Linked DNA regions of Diceros bicornis minor. The protein of the gene in region 1 interacts with the protein of each later gene in a biochemical or structural test. Links are inferred from orthologs where the notes say so. Each region holds a gene or a part of one and is shown on either strand. Other genes may lie near its edges.

The links. The genes of interacting proteins can lie anywhere in the genome.
Region 2: the proteins of SEMA4D (region 1) and CD72 form a complex in vitro, tested with the Homo sapiens proteins (2 studies listed by BioGRID and IntAct). The link is inferred for Diceros bicornis minor from reciprocal best matches to the Homo sapiens genes SEMA4D and CD72.

What each region holds. Positions count from the first base shown.
Region 1 is NC_080761.1:56,672,661-56,680,379, forward strand, and holds the start of SEMA4D (semaphorin-4D), read left to right. Parts: upstream 1-4,627; 5' UTR 4,628-4,700; intron 4,701-7,719. UniProt on the Homo sapiens protein: Cell surface receptor for PLXNB1 and PLXNB2 that plays an important role in cell-cell signaling. Regulates GABAergic synapse development. Promotes the development of inhibitory synapses in a PLXNB1-dependent manner.
Region 2 is NC_080767.1:4,063,566-4,071,260, forward strand, and holds the start of CD72 (B-cell differentiation antigen CD72), read right to left. Parts: upstream 3,035-7,695; 5' UTR 3,024-3,034; coding exon 2,942-3,023; intron 2,826-2,941; coding exon 2,721-2,825; intron 2,227-2,720; coding exon 2,151-2,226; intron 1,898-2,150; coding exon 1,791-1,897; intron 1,687-1,790; coding exon 1,597-1,686; intron 1,262-1,596; coding exon 926-1,261; intron 1-925. UniProt on the Homo sapiens protein: Co-receptor of B cell receptor (BCR) that plays both positive and negative roles on B-cell functions. Recognizes the Sm/ribonucleoprotein (RNP) self-antigen ligand, and coligation of CD72 and BCR inhibits BCR signaling.

The sequences.
Region 1 (7,719 bases):
GCTGCCAACCCCAAGCAGAACCAGAGCCAATCAGAGGGAAAGAAGGAGAGGAGTCAGCAAAAGAAAGATCAACAATTGCATCTCGGCCCCTGGATCTAGCTGTACCTGCAACCCTTTTAGATCTAAGTGAGCCAAGAGTCTGAGCTGAACTTCTGTCACTTGCAACCAAGAGTCCCATCTCCTTCATTAACGCAATAAACATGTCTGAGGGCGATTTTATACAAGCATTGTGTGGATGCTGGGAATCCAAAGTCCCTTCCCTTTAAAATACTAATTCTTAATCAGGATAGACTTTGGAGAGTCCATCCAGATGCAATGGATGGGAAAAAAAGAATTACATTTTTCCCACTAACCTCTAACTGCAGTGAGGCATTTCCTTCCAGGATCAATGAAGACAACAGAACACAGTCACGTTAGCCCAACGCACCCCCTGACCCGGCTGGAATCTCCGAGGTTGTCACATCACATCTCATGTACAGGGCAGCTCATCACGACCTCAGAATCACTACTTATCAGACCTGCTGCTAGAGTGTGTTACTCAATGTGTAAATAATGAAGCAAACGGATCACATTTTAAAATATTTTGACAACTGGATTTCAGTGTAATTGGTTTCCTTTCTAATCCTTTGTTTTATTTTGTGCATTTAAAAGCATTATTCTGAAAAGAGGCCAATAGACTTCACCAAGCTCCAGAAGCTCAGAATGAAGACCAGACTGAAAAGAGGCAGACCAGGAGACAGTAGTGGTGGCCCCCCGGTGAGCCGTGCGAGGCGACATCACAGAAGGTGGGGGCCGCCCGGCCGCGCCCGGGGTGCGTGGGGGGCGTTGGAGAAACAGTGCTCGGGCTGAGTTGCAGGGTAAGGCCTGATGGTCATCTGCCAGAGGCAGGGCACGGGAAGGAGCCTCGGCAGGGGCGGTGGCGTCGCCTTGGGGCTGAGGAAGGCGCTGCTGGTGCAGGTCACTCGAGGACACCAGCGCTGGTCAGGCTGCTACTCCGCCAGGGCAGCGTGCCGGCAGCCTGCTCTGTCGCCCGGATTCTCCCTCTCCCTGGGTCCAACTGGGGCAGTGCTCCGCTCCCTGGAGCGTTTACAGTCCCTGGGTCTGACCACGGAAGGCCACGTGGAAAGCGCTAGGAGAGAGTGCGGGAGGGCGAGATTACACCCCTTAAGCAGAGCGAGCCAGTGCTTTGTGCTCTGACAGCTAAAGTGCCGTGCAAGACGCCCAGAACAGGGACGGCGGCGCCGCCAGGCCTTCAGTGAGCTGCTGCAGCCCGAATGCAGCTTGCCGGAAAAGAGCCCTCGCGTCCAGCAGGGGTCCCGGTGGGGCAGGGGCCCAGGAGGGCGCTGGGGGCCCCCGGGCACTTCCCCTCCAGCTAAAGAGGGTGCTCTGGCAATGAGGTCCCCAGAAGAGCCCTGTGAGGGCCCTTTATCTTAGGGAGGCTGCCAGCAGGTGGGCTTCTCTGGAGTGGGGGAGGGACAGTGAGGGGCCATCAGCAGCCATGGCAGCACTCAGAGTGGAGGCCAGGTCCCAGGTGTCCACAAAGCACTTTGTGGTCACGTTCAAAAGTCATCTCCCCAGACCTGGAAGTAGGCAGTGGCCCCCCTCCACATGACTGAGCCCCTTAGGGCCCACGTCTCCAGGGACTGCCACTTCCCTCCACTTCGCCAGCCGAGTGCTCACAGGCTTGGGCTCTGGGGCTGCACCTGCGGCTGCAGGTGAAACACAACCTGCCAGCTCTTCTGGAACATTCCCTCCCTTGCTCAAATACTCCCCATGTGGACGATTGTAAAACCCCTCTCAGCCAACCACACACGTGTAGGGCCACACGGAGGAGCAGAGGTCGGGAAATGGTGTCTCTCTCGTGTCGGCATGGGTGACGGGGAGGCTGAGGAGAGCCTGTACCGCCTGAACCGCCACACCGCGCGTCTCCTCTCATGGGATTCCAGCATCACCTGGGCAGTCTCCTGGCGCATCTGCACACAGACAGCGTCAACCTTCTGGCGGGAAACGTAGAGCAACTTCACTAAACGTGGCCCACGTATCTAAACCTTCACCATTTCTGGGAAGCTCGAAGACAAATTGGTCGATATTCTGTCTTAGATACATTTCAAATTAGTATCAGAGGGGACCAGGAGTGGGTCAGAGGTGACACAAGATCGCCACCCCCGTGAGCGGGGGTTTGTTTGACTCTTATGCACATGTTTAAAATGTCCCGTAATAGAAGGTAAAGCAGCCACAACAAGAAGGAAGAGACAAACGGGGTCACTTTGTGTGACCCGGGAGGTCGTGTTCCAGGGAAGGCACATTTCTGGGGGCCTCCCAGGTGCTGGGGGGGTCGTGCTATTGTCTCATCGAATCCTCTCCTGTCCCAGTACACAGATGAGAGAACAGGCTAGGAGGGGTTTACGACTGTGGGAGGCCCTGAGGCCAGAGCATGGGCTCCAGGTCAAGTGTGCTCAGTTGGTTTCTGCTGTGCCTGGCGCCCTCGACTCTGCAGACGGTGAGGAAAGGAGAGTGGTAACTGCCATGCACCGCCCTTGACCAGATTAGAGCATGGCACAGTCTAGCAGCTGAGAGAGGCTCGGGCCGCATCCCCCTGCTCGGGCCCCCTCCAGCAGCCTCCTGCGGCCGCCCCAGAACCTGTCTAGACACTGGACGTGAGGGACATGCTCCTCAGGGGCGGCTGGCTCCTCCGGCAGGCAGGTCTGCCAGAAAGCGCTCACAGTGAGCGGAAATCTACTCCCTAATCTAATTTCCACCCATCTGTCCTCATTTTGCCTCTCCTAACCCCACGGGGTAATCCTTCTTCCCGGACAGCTTTGCAAATATTTGATGCCACTGTCCTGTGCTCCACACATCGATCTTCCAGCCTAAAAGTTCCGGGTCTGTCAACTACCCTCCCACGGCCTGCTGGTGGCTGTCCTTGGCACCACAAGGGTACTGTGTTCTAGACGTGCCTCACCAAGGACGAGTACAGGTGAGCCCTCCGTCTCTGCAGTGCTTGCCTTGATGGATCCTAAGAGCGGGGCTCTCTTCCGGGGGGGATGCTGTTGAAACAGTCATGCCCTAACCCCTTCCCATCAGGTGTTGGTCCACATGGGATAGGGGCAGAGATTCACGGATGCCCCCAACTGGAAGGGAGCTTGGAAAGGACGTCTCCCCACTTTCCTGTACAGTCACCAGCACCGAACTCAGAGCACACAGGGCTGCGAGCTTTTCCTGCAATTCTCTCCCTGTGCTCAGGCAACCCTGGAGATGGTGGCCTATCCTCACCCCGGGAAGGACAGGACAGGGCTCCCAGGGCACCTTGGAAGCATGGAGCCAAGACTCAACCTGTAGTCTCAGAGCCCAGGTCATGACCCCACTCTCAGAGTTGGGGGGTGAGCTCCCGCCCAGCCCTGCCTGCACCCTTGGCATGGCTCCGCCATCTTCCCGCTTTTGCTGGCCCGGGGTCCCGTCCACTGGCCCTAAGGCCCAGCTCTCCGGGTCCCAGCACAGAAAGGCAGGAGGCCCCTGAAGGCAACTGAGGCTCTTGGGCTGTCACTCGTCATTTAGGAGCAGCTTCATTTTTAAAGTCTCGCTCTGGCGCTCAGCAGCCGCGGTCAGTAGGAAGCGATTTCGGCTGCTCCGGAGGGGCTGCAGCCCAGAGAGCTATGGCCAGGCTTGGTGAGGGAGCACCCCGACTCCTGCGCGCAGGGAAAGCCTGGCTGGTTCATCAGGAACCGTGCCCTTTCCCGGGACGGTGTCCCTCAGCCAGTCAGTCACTGTCCCAGGCCTGTCACTTCTCCCTCGGGGGCGGGGGGGAGGCATCCTGGAGCAGTCCTTTGAGGGCACCCAGGTCCCCACACCCGTGGGTTAGTACAAATGTGTGTCACCTAGGGACTGGGGAACCCTTGGCCTCTGGAGTGGAAAATGGTGCACACTTAGCAAACAGTTGGCATGGGGCCCAGAGGACCATGGAAAAGCCTAGACAGGAGGGACCTGCCCGCCTCACACTGAGGGAATGGCAGGGGGCCTGGTTTGGAATGTTCTCCCCCAAAGTCAGATTTGCTTAGAAGCAAGGCAGCAAAGTGTCCCGGGAGCCCGCACGCTTTGCCCACACATCTGTGCAGGTCAGGTCCCCAGCAGAGCTGCACCAGGGGGTGCGGGAATCCTTGAGGGTTTGGAGAGGGCCTGGGAAGAGTGGGGTCAGGCCAGACTCCGGAAGGGGCAAGCTGGTCCATTAGCAGGTGGTGAGGAGTGGGTGACTGGGCACTTCATCAGAACCCGTGCTGGACCCAGGAGAGGCCAGGCCAGGACAGGCGGGCAGCCTCTGGGGCCGAGCGCACGGTGGGAGGTGGCAGAGGCGGTAGGAGGAGGAGGGCGGGGCAGAGAGGGAGTGGAGGAAGGTGAAGGAGGAGGAGGGAAGGGGAGGGGACGAGAGGGTGGGGAGAGGAGGAGGGCGGGGAGGAGGCGGAGGGAGGGGACAGGCAAGGGAGGAGGTGGGAAGGGGAGGAGGGGCGCGGAGGAGGGGCCTGCCTGCCGGCCCCGCGCCCTCGCGCGCCGCAGCATCCCCGCGCCTCCGGGCCGAGCCGGGCCTCCGCCGCCCTCCGAGCCGGGCCTCCTCCTCCGCCGCCGCCGCCGCTGCGGCCGCCATTCCTGCGCCCGTGCTCGCCAGCCGGGTCCCGCTCGGTGTCCGCGGCCAGGACGCTCCGCGCCAGGTAAGGGCGGGCGGGCGGAGGCAGCGCGCGGACCAGGCAGGTGCGCGGGGGCGGTGGGACCCTCCCCGGACACCTCCTGGAGCCCCCGCCCCGGAGCCTCGGACCCCCGTCCCCTCCCAGAGTGCCTTCCTCGGACCCCTCCCCGGACCTCCAAGTCCCCTCCCTTCCCCGCCTCCCTCCCGGCCCCGGCGCGCAGGTGGCTCCGAGCGGCGCGGGGGACGCGGGGGCGCGGGGCGCGCAACAGAACCAGGCCGGGAGAGGGGCGGCGCTCTCGGCCAGGCCCGCCGCTCTCCTGTCCGCCGGGCCCCCGCCGCGCTCCGGCCACTCCGGCCTGGCGGGGCCCCGCGGGTTCTATTTATGTCGCGGAGGCCGGGGCCCTGCGCGCAGGACCCGGAGCCGCGCACTCAGACAGGTGGGGCAGGTCGGGCCACGGCAGAGTGCTGCAGGCCTCGGCTTCCTTTAGGGTTTGGCTTCGTGGTTCTAGAAAGAGCCGAGGAGAATCACCAGCTTCGGCTCGGGCTGCACCTGTTGCAGGCGCCTGGTGAGCTGCAGGGAGCTGGATCCGCTGGGGTTTTGCCAGTGTAAACATGGAAAGGAGAGTAGGGTCCTCCTCTTCATTTATTTGATTTAGTATTGGGGGGCGAGGGTGCCTGGGAGTCTGTAGGTGGGCAGGTCACTGACAATGAGGCCTGTTGTCAAGGGCTGGGCCCTGCTTTCTCGAGCGTGTGCCGCGCCAAGTTGCTCTGCTTTTGTTTTGAAAATCTCCCCTTATGTTGAGCGGGTCCAGGCTGTGGGTGGCCAGGTGCCTGCAGGCCAGGCCCGACCTGGGGCCTGTGGCCAAGGGGCCAGCCCTCCTGTTCTGAGTCTATTCAAATCCACCAGGCGCCACCGAGTGGAAGTTTCCTTTCCAGGGAGTGAGGTGACACCGGTGGCCTGTCACCTCATATCTGCCCCAGGCCTGGGGCCTGCCTGCTGGCTGCCTGGGCGCCGTTATTTGGGAATGTTTACTGTGTCCCAGAAACAGGCCGCTTCTGCCAAGGCTGTGGCCAGGATTCTAGAAGAGATAATGCCCCGATTGTCACTTGAACGGTTGGTGTCTGTGCACATCGTCTGCAAGAATAAAGAAGAAGAAAGAGGCCTGCTCTGAGTACCCCTGGCACCATGTCCTTCCAGGGATAAAGCCTTCAGGAACGAGGGGACGGTGAGGGACACACCGGGGCGTTTCACACCCGGGAGGCCAGATCTTCAGACTGAAGAAGTGTCTGTAGTACACCCAGCAGGTACATTGGATCAGGAAATAAAAACTCATCGCTGGCACAGAGAGGCAGCTGTGCCGGGTCCCTCTCTGGCACAGTGTTGCAGAACCGGGAGCTGGCATAGGAGGGGGACTGGCTCCCCATGATGGGCTTCGCCATCTGTCCATCTGTCTGTCTGTCTGCCCTCTGAGACAGTGCCGGTGAGTTCCTCTGCCCGCCCTCCCGAGGAGCACATGTCTGTTAGAAAATGCAGTCTTGCAGAGACCCCATCCCCCGAGACTGGGGAACTCTGGTGGCCTTGCTCAGGGCCCTGGTGGGTGGTGCACCCACCCCGGCTGAGCTGTGGTGCAAGGCCATGCCACACAGCGGTCCAGTGGCTCTGGGCTGGGGAGATGACCTGATGACATCATCCGTGTGACCCCCTCTGTGTGGGTGTCCGAGGCAGATTCCGTGTCTCCACACCAGGCAGGGATGTGGAGGCCAGCGCTGGGAAGCGTGTGCTGATGGCCGGCTCTGAGTGGGGGAGGACTCGCCACCGCTGCCAGCACACGGCAGAATCAATACTGCTTTGCAAAGATCAATGGCTGTCTCGTCGGTCCTCTGTGCTTCTGGAGGGAGCCTGTCTCCCCACACCCTCCTTCTGGGTCCCATTTCTGGGGATGGGTGGGGTCGGGAGGGGGCTGCAGAGCCTCTTCTGCCCCCTTGTCCTGTGTGGTGAGCCTGGGGCCAGAGCTGCTGGGTTGGCAGCTGGGACCTGTGTCCCCCCAGGCCTCCCCAGTGTCCTGGGTTGGGCCCCTACTGCTATGAAAGTGAATTTGCTTCCTGATTGTTTATTTACAGCGACCTTCCCCGTCATGCTAAGAATTTGCTTGGTTGAAAGAACTTGGGGGGTGAGGTGGCGGGCAGTGCCCCTGTGCCCCCAGTCACCCGCCTCCAGGGTCTCGTGGGAGGGACAGCGGTGACCTGTTAACCGTCCGGTGTAGGGGTGGCCGTGGGGTGATGCTGGCCTCGTAGAGATGTACAGATGAATCTGCTGTCGGCTGACTGTCGAGGGTGGTCCCTGGGAGAAAGGCTCCGTCCTTGCAGGTCCCTCCTGGGGCCGCTCTTTCTCTCTCGACTTTTCCGGTTGCAGAGGGGAGAGGAGAGGTAAGAAGGAGGTTGGCTAGCAAAAGTGACAGAGGCATGGTGGGAGGCCCTCTCTCCCTCCCCCTGGGATCGGCAGGTGCAGTCCCACAGCTCCCCCGCGCCACTTGAGGCCCGTGGCCGTCTGGGGACATCTCTGGGTGTCACCCGAGAGCAGAGCCAGTCGAGCAGGCTCCTCTGCACTGGGGACTTTGCACAGCTCATGGCCCATCTGCTGTCGAGAGGCGACTCAGGAAAGCAGAGATTTATTAGGAGGAAGTATCTGCTGATTCAGGCAAGTGGAGACGGCGGGCGAGGGGGCCTCGCCTGGAGCTGGGTGGTGCTATTCAGCATGCCAGTTAAGGTGATGCTCGGGATGAGTGAATTGGCTCATCTCCATTCCGTGGAGTGGCTCGCTTTCCAGTGAGCCTGACCCCCACCCAGTGCACGGACGTGTACCTGGCAGTGCCACGCTGGGCCAGCTCCATGCTGCTGCTCCTGGCATTACAGCAGCCCGGGTGCCGTCCCCCCACAGCTGCCTCCCCTGCCTGCCCCCTGTGTGAGCCTGCAAGGGACCGGGCGGGCATTTGGTCTCAAAGTCTCAGGTCCTGCCCGTCAAAGCAGAGACTGCACCCTCCCCG
Region 2 (7,695 bases), on another chromosome or scaffold:
GAAACCTGCCTTTCAGCAGAAGAGCAGTTTGGGATACTGAGGTCTAGGGTGCAGCTGAGGGGACATGTAGCAGCACTGGCAAGGAACTGAGGGTCATAGAGAATAGGAAGGTTAAAGAAATGAGGGCTGGGGGTGTCCGCACATGATCTCGCTGTCTAAGCCTTGGGGGAGTATCCAGATGGCCCCTGAGCTAGACAGAGCCTAACCTCAAACATAGATAACCAGTTCATGAACACACCAGTCCCCTTGGGCCTGGCACCCTGCCTCGAACCTCAGCCTGCTTTGGCACAGCCTCTCCCCTTTTATGTGTCCCCTCCCTCATCCCCACATACCGGCTTGACTCCTGCTCTTAAAATGGATGAACACTCCACCCCAATTCCCTACCCCGCGAAACCCCCACCCACCTCACTGTGAGTGCCACCCACACTCAAGAGCTTCAGCTGCCTTGCCCTACCACCAGACTGCACCTTGTCAATCAGTAGTTCTCTATCTTTTGGGGAATCTCAGATGTAGTGAGAATTAATTAAAGCTATAGACACTTTCTTTAGAAATATGGGCAAACAACCAATTTCACATCCAAATTCAGGGAGTTTCCAGATCCTTGACACTGATGTCAAGCCAGATGAGACCTGAGTTTGCTGCTTTGGACAGTATGATTTGCATTGCTGGCTGCTACCCTCCTCTCCACCTCAGGATCCGCCTTAAAGCTGGGCGAGTCCCCCTAACTCCAGTATGCAGCTAGATCCTTCTCCCTGTTGGTCAAGGCTGCACAGCTCATGTCAGCCACCACTCTGGTTCACTACTCCTTTCCTGAACAAGTCAGTGGCTCCCTGATAGACAGACAGACCGCTGCCCCAAGTGTCTCCTCACTTCAATCCATCCCTCACAGCAGACCCTCCCATTTCTCCTCTCCCAGAGCAGATACCTGATGAGGGGCATGTGAAGAAGGGCCTCAGTGTGTCCTGCATGCTGCTCAGCCTCTGTTCCAGGTTCCTCCTCTCCTCCTCCTCCCTTTGCAAGTCCTCTTTTGTCTTCTCCCTGTCGGACTGGCAGGCCTGCAACTGCTCTTTGGTAGCCAGGCCAACTTTCTGTTCCACTTGCAGTGCTTCCTGAGTCTGGGCCAGCTCCCTACGGGACCCCTGCAGAGCTGCTTCCCTCTGCCCCAACTGGGTCATCTTTTGGGTGAGCTGCTGTCTCAGGCTGCTGTTAGTGGCTTCCAGAACCCTGTTCATCTGCTGGAGCTGCTGAGACACCTGCAGATCTGTTTGGCCATAAAGAGAGATTTGGAGGGTGTCTTCTTCAGCCGCACCCTGGTGCCGGGAGACTTCAGTGCCAGTCCTTTTTCTGCTTCCTGCAACTTTCTGCATAACAGGCTGAAATATAGGATCTGACCACCTACAGCTTAAGGAGGTACTGGATTAGGTAAGGACAATTTAGGAAGATGGCCTTCTAAAACAGACCTGGCTGGAAACCAGATGGAAAGCTAAGGATGTGGTGGTAGTGCCCCTGGGCCTTGCTGAGGAAGAGCAGCCGTTGGGGAGAGCAGAGGAGAAAGTCGTTAGGGGTAAGTGGGAAGTGGGGGTCAGCCATACTCACAGCGCACTCCCAGGCAGATGGAGGCCACCCCCAGCAGCAAGCAGGTGAGGAGCGCGCCGAGCACGAGGTACTGCCTGAAGGCTGCACGGCCTTAGGGAGACAGTGGGATGAGGCCGGTGAGCCCCAGGAACCAGTTTACAGACTGGGGGATGGGTGGGTGGGGAGATTCATGGGAAAGAGCATCCCTCGACGACCTGGGGCAGGCATGGCTGTTTGTGTCGGGAGTGAGTTTCCGCAGGTAGCGGAAGAAGGTGTTCCAGAATAAAGGTTGACGATTGTTACCGGTAAGGAGTGAGGGGCACTACCCGGTAGGAGTGGAACTGTCTCAGACCGAGACAGGGGAGTGGGTATGTGAATGGGACCATCGTAAGGGGGGCGGGGGGGGGGGGTCTGGGGCGACACGTCGGAAAGATCTATACGAGGACGAGTGAAGGAGTTGGGGAATGGTCCGGGGCCTCCCCGGCTCACCACCGACCAGAGCCGCCCCCGAGGACCCCGCAGCGCCGGCCGGGACCCGCCCGGGGGCGCGCGTGCGCTGGGCGGGGGCGCCGCACTCAGCGCGGAGGAGGCGCCTGGCCGCCGACGACGTCACGGAGCTCCGCGCGGCGGGCGGCGGCTGCGACTGGAGCCCTGCGGACCGGCGGCTCCAGCTGGATGAGGGAGGCCCGGAAATGTCCCTTCCCCCACCCCGGGCTCCGCTGCGCCGGGGCCCCCAGCACTCCCGGGATCTCCCGTGTCCCTCCCGGGTCTACCTGCTCTTTCCCCGGGGACCCCCTCTTCTCCCTCCCGGGTCTCCCTTTATCCTTTCCTCAGGGGCCCTCATCTGCCGGTCCCAGACCCCCTCCCCAACCCTGCCTTCCCTCTCCGTAGACTCCCCATCCCCGCTGGGACTCCCCTCCCCCAGGGCTGTCCCGATCCCACAGCGGAGCCCTGATCTTCCCCTGGGATCTCCCCTGCCGCAGGGAGCTTCATTCTCCCCCTGGCTCCCTTTATCCAGTGCTCACGCTTTTCTTTCTTAAGAACCCTCTCCTTTCCCCAAGGATCTTGTCCTCCCAAGAATGCGGACTGTGGCCTCCCAGCTCAAGACACAGCCCCCGACGAACACATACCTGGGCTCTCCATACCTGCTTTGTCCCCTAGTCCAGCAGGAGCCGAGCTCGAGCCCCCTGGAACTGGGGGCACCTGTACGTTCTCATAGGTGAGTTCCCCGTCCTCGTCAGCCTCTGGATCTGGAGATGAGAGAAAAGGGAGCAAGGTGGGAGTCGGAATGGGGTCTATAGAGTGGGGATGGGTTATGAAGGAGGTTGGGGATGCAGAGTCAAGGAGAGGGCTCATGCACCCTTACCCTGTCCTACTCGGCTGGCGATGCCCTTCTTCAGGGGAGCCTTCACAAACCGCAGGTCTGCATAGGTGATGGCCTCAGCCATGGTCCTGAGCTTCTCTGCCCCCACCTGTCTCCCCAGTCTCCCAATGGCCCAAAGCCTCCCTTGCCACGCTCCCCTCTGTCCCTTCACACTCGTAGGTTCTGGGTTCACTCTGTGACCACCCAGCTTAGTGCTCTGCCCTGTGACTTCCAGTCACAAAAGAGGAAGATGTGAGCAAGTCTCAGACAGATGGGTTTAGTGAAGCGGATTGCATCCTTGAGTCCTGGTCAGAGGAGCAGGGGAGGGCAAACTGAGGTCCAGAGCATGTGGTAGGGGTGGGGGTGTCACAGGACCACTACTCAGGCCTGTCCCTGTGTCCTGCCTGTGCTCCCCATCATGCATCCCAGACCCACTTGGGCGGTGCTGGGCTTCATGCCCATCCTTCTGCTCATCTACCCTGATCTGCCCCACACTTCTCTCCTGGCTGCAGCGTCCACAGGCGTATCTATGCGTAGTCAGAGCTCTTTTGTGCTCAACTGACCCTAGAGGATCTCCCCAATGATTGCTCCAGGGTGGGGCCCCACCCTTCTCATCAAATTGGGGAGATTCTAGTGTGGAGCCCTAGTTCCTCATCATCCTGGGGTTCCTAGCAGGTATGGGTTCCCATAGAGGGGTCCCTAAATTGGTGAGGCGCATCACCCTATCGGTTTGGGGGCTTTCAGAGTGGACTCAGCTCCTCTCCTGCTGTAGTCCCACAGAGCTGCTGCAGATCCCACACACAGGGAGGTTCTCTGTCTGAAGCCCTTCCTGGGAGTGTGGTAGCCCTTTAGAGGATGCAGAGGGTCTGGGACCAAACTGTTTCTCCTCTGTAAACACCCCAGATCCCCTCTTCACAGCCTTGCCCTGGCCCCCTCCACCCTTGTTGCCAGAGTGATCACACCTGTGGCCAATCAGCCCCTTCCTCATCCCATCTTGCCCCCTGCCAGACTCATAGTGTCCCCTGTGTCCCAGTATCTGAGCTGGATCCAGCAAGCTGAGTCCAGGAGCCAGGGGCTCTGGGATAGGCCTGGGCTGTCCTGAGGAGGAGGGACCACCCCAGCTTGTGGAAGAGCCTGCTGTACTGACCGCTCATGAACTCTTGTGGGGAGTCAGAGGGCAGGCGAGCAAAGGAGAATGAGGAAGGGCTGCAGCTTCTCAGAGGGGAGCAAAGAGACAAAGCAGCAGGGTGCTGAGCATACTCTGTACCAGCTGAGGGTTTGATATTTTCTTGGTTTGGTTGTGATTCCTCTCTTACTTCCCTAGTAAGGTTCTTCTTTTAAAAAGTCCCAACATTGTCCCATTACACCCAGCCCCGAGGAAAAAGGAGCATTTATGGGGGAAGACTAGGGGCTGAGGGGCTCATTGGTGGTGAGGGCCTGGCTGATGGAGGAGGGGGACACAGTGGGGAGGAGGGGGCAGCTGAGCAGTGGTTCAGAGTTGCTCCCTAACGTTCTTTTACCAGGGTGTGACCCCAAAAAGGCCTTCTTCTGGGGGTGAGAAGAGGCTAGGACAAGACAAGATATGAAAGTGGGAAAAAACCCACCCCCAATGGGTGACATCCGCCCCCTCAGAAACTCCCCTCTGCAGCTGTGGGGAGGGAAAGCAAGGGGAAAGAGGTCCTCACCGCACGCTAACCGCTAACAGCTCATAGTGTATGGTTAGTGGTGTGTGGAGGAGCACTGTGGTGGGCCCGTGGGGTGGTCTAGAGCTCTGCCAGACAGCACCACCCATCCCACTCCAGAGAAAGTGCCCACTGAGGCAGAAGAGTATGTTTGTCCCCCGAGGAAGGAGCCAAAGGGAGAGGCAGGTGTGTGCATGTGTGTGAGTGTGCATGCATGCACATGCATCCCTGGGTCCTTGTGGTCTGTTGGGGTGTCTGTGTGAGGTGAGCGTCTATGTTAGGGCCTGTGTGGAGGGTTAAGCACGAAGGATTCTGTGGACTGAAAGATGCCTGTGATAGATGTTATTTTTATCCATGGCAAGGAATGACGGGCCATTTTCAGAAAAGTCTTAAAAGGTCATGGGGACGGATTCTACAAATATTTCCTTTCTAAGGCTCACTGCTTCCTAAGATATCCCTGCAGCTGTTAACCGTCCCCGCTTGATTAAAGTTTCCAACTACCCAGGCCCCTCCCCCAGGCACCCTGTCAGGGCCTCCCCCAGATAACAGGCAGTGGTATGAGTTGGTGACTCCCTGGGGGCCTCAGGGGCCCGTGAGAACGAGTGGGAGCGTGTATAGCAGCTGCTGGCAGGGTGGGTGGGGGCAGTCAGGGTACCTGTATCTGTGGTGAACGGGGTGGGGGGGCAGCATGTGTGTAAATCAACTGCAGGAAACTTGTAAGAATTCTGTAAACTGTAGCTAATGTCCCAGTTTTCAGAACCAGCACACAAGTGAACATGGCCTGGATGCCAGGTAAAGTGCCAAAACCAAGCTTCCAGTATGCGTTCAAAAAGAGTCCATGGGCTGGGGAGGGAGCTGGGACATGCTGAGCTGCACACCCACGATCCGTGGACGTCCTACACAGGCGGCTGCGTGTCTCTGCTCTAGCTCTTTTGGTGATGATTACGTATCTCCTTGTGACATTCTGCATTCTCTTCTGTGGCCTTCTCTTGTGAATACAGTGTGAGAGTGGGATCCTTCTCTATCCCCGTGTGTGTCACATGGGGTCTTTGTGATATAGACATTCACATTACCTTTCAAACCTGGACATCAGAAAGGACACCTGTAACTCCGAGCTGCACCTCACCCGCCCGGATGTCAGGACACCTGGAGGGTTTTCAGGAACTGAGGGGCCAGAGCCGTACATTTTGGCATTTCGAGGCCCATAATACCCTCTGAGATCCTAGAGGACAAACCCCAAAGCCCATTCCTCGCCCTCCCCTGACCTCACTGCTGCTTACTAGAGGGAGTGGTTGTTAAGGTGGACAGGAGGAGGGAGCCTGGCTCTGAGGGCAGCTGGGAAGAACGGGCCCTGTGGACAGGGGCTCATCTGTGTGAACTTTGGTGAAGTCCAGCCAACATCAAGAAGCCCAGGAAGTCTCCAGAGACTCCGCAAGTCAGGTTATATCTGTCTTCATTATTCTAATGCACTGGCTCTGGGAGGCCCTAATCTGCAGACAGGCTGTTGTAGGCAAAGCAATGGCCTCCCCAAATGTTCACACTCAAATCCCCAGAACCTGTAAATATGTTACTTTACCTGACAAAAAATTTAAATGTGATTAAGTTAAGGACCTTTAGATGGGGAGATCATCCTGTTCTATCCCTGTAGGCCACTCTAATCATGTGAGTCTTTGAAAGGGAGAAGCTCTCAGAGCCATGGGAAGAAAGAGATTCGACAGTGGAAGAAGGGGCAGAGAGATGCAGCATGAGATGGACTTCACCCAGTTGCTGGCTTCAAAGGTGGAGAAAGGAACCATGAGCCAAGGAATGCAGGCAGCCTCTGGAAGCTAGAAAAGGCGAGGAAACGGATTCTCCCCTAGAGCTTCCAGAAAGGAACCAGCCCTGCCGACACCTCAACTTTAGTCCAGCGAGACCTGTGTCAAACTTCTGACCAACAGACACGTAAGATAAGAAATTTGTATTTTTTAAGCCACTAAGTTTGTGGCAGTTTGTTACAGCAGCAATAGAAAAGTTTCCTGAACTGTGAAGGAAGCATGATGCAAAGAACATGGTATTATAGATAAAGAAGCCAGCCCTGCCACGGTGTGTGGCTTTGGGCAAGTCACGATTTCCTGTCTGTAAAACATGGGATTGTCAGATGATGTCTGACATCAATCAAGGGTATGATGGCTGCAGATTATAGTAGGTGTAGATTTTAACAAAAGCATCTTTAAAGTCTGTTGAAATAGCTCCAGAGTCAGGAGAGAGAACGGTGGGCCATCGATAGCACTGTTAAAGGGATTCGTGGCTCTTTGATCACTGAAGCCAAAGAGTGCTGGTGGGCCTCCCGTGACTACCTCAGGCCTCTGCTTGGTCCTGTCTTGAATGGTGACACAGAAAGCACATTCGTATAGCTGATGCAGAGAGCTGTCAGGAAAAGCAAATACACCGAAAGGCAGACTCAAGAATCTAACGTTGCAGCAGGGCAAAGTGACAGCTCCAAACCACAGAAGGAAGGTAATAAAGATAAATAATAATCGCTAGCATTTATTGACAAATCAAATTTGGGGTTCAAAAAATAAATTACATAAGCTTAGGAGGGAGGGAGTCTGGCTTAACAATAGTTGATGTACAAAAATTTGAGCGGAAAGGTGGTTATCAGGCATTTTGGAGGCTCAAGGGATCTTAGTGAGCCCAACTCACCTATTTTACAAATTAGAAAACTGCGCTCAGTGGACTGTAAGCTCGTTATGAACTAATCGCGTGACTAGGAGGGCTTGTGACAAAAGGCTGCTCCATAGGACTACAACTCCTTTACTAAACACATCAAACATTGTACCAGCCACACCCACAGCCACTGTTAAGGGGGACAAACCCCTGCTGATGGGGCAGCCCTAGACCCCCAAAAATGTGTTACGTGACCCCCACCTCCTCTGGCCTCAGCTGACTGAGATAACCAAGTGGGCAACTGACTCAAGGCTGGCCAGTCCAGAGACCAGCCAGTGGCCTGTGGGAAGGCCTGGCCTGGAAATCAGGGATGATGTGAGCTTATCAAATTTTCATTCTCAGGAATTTCAGTGGGAAAATACAGAGATG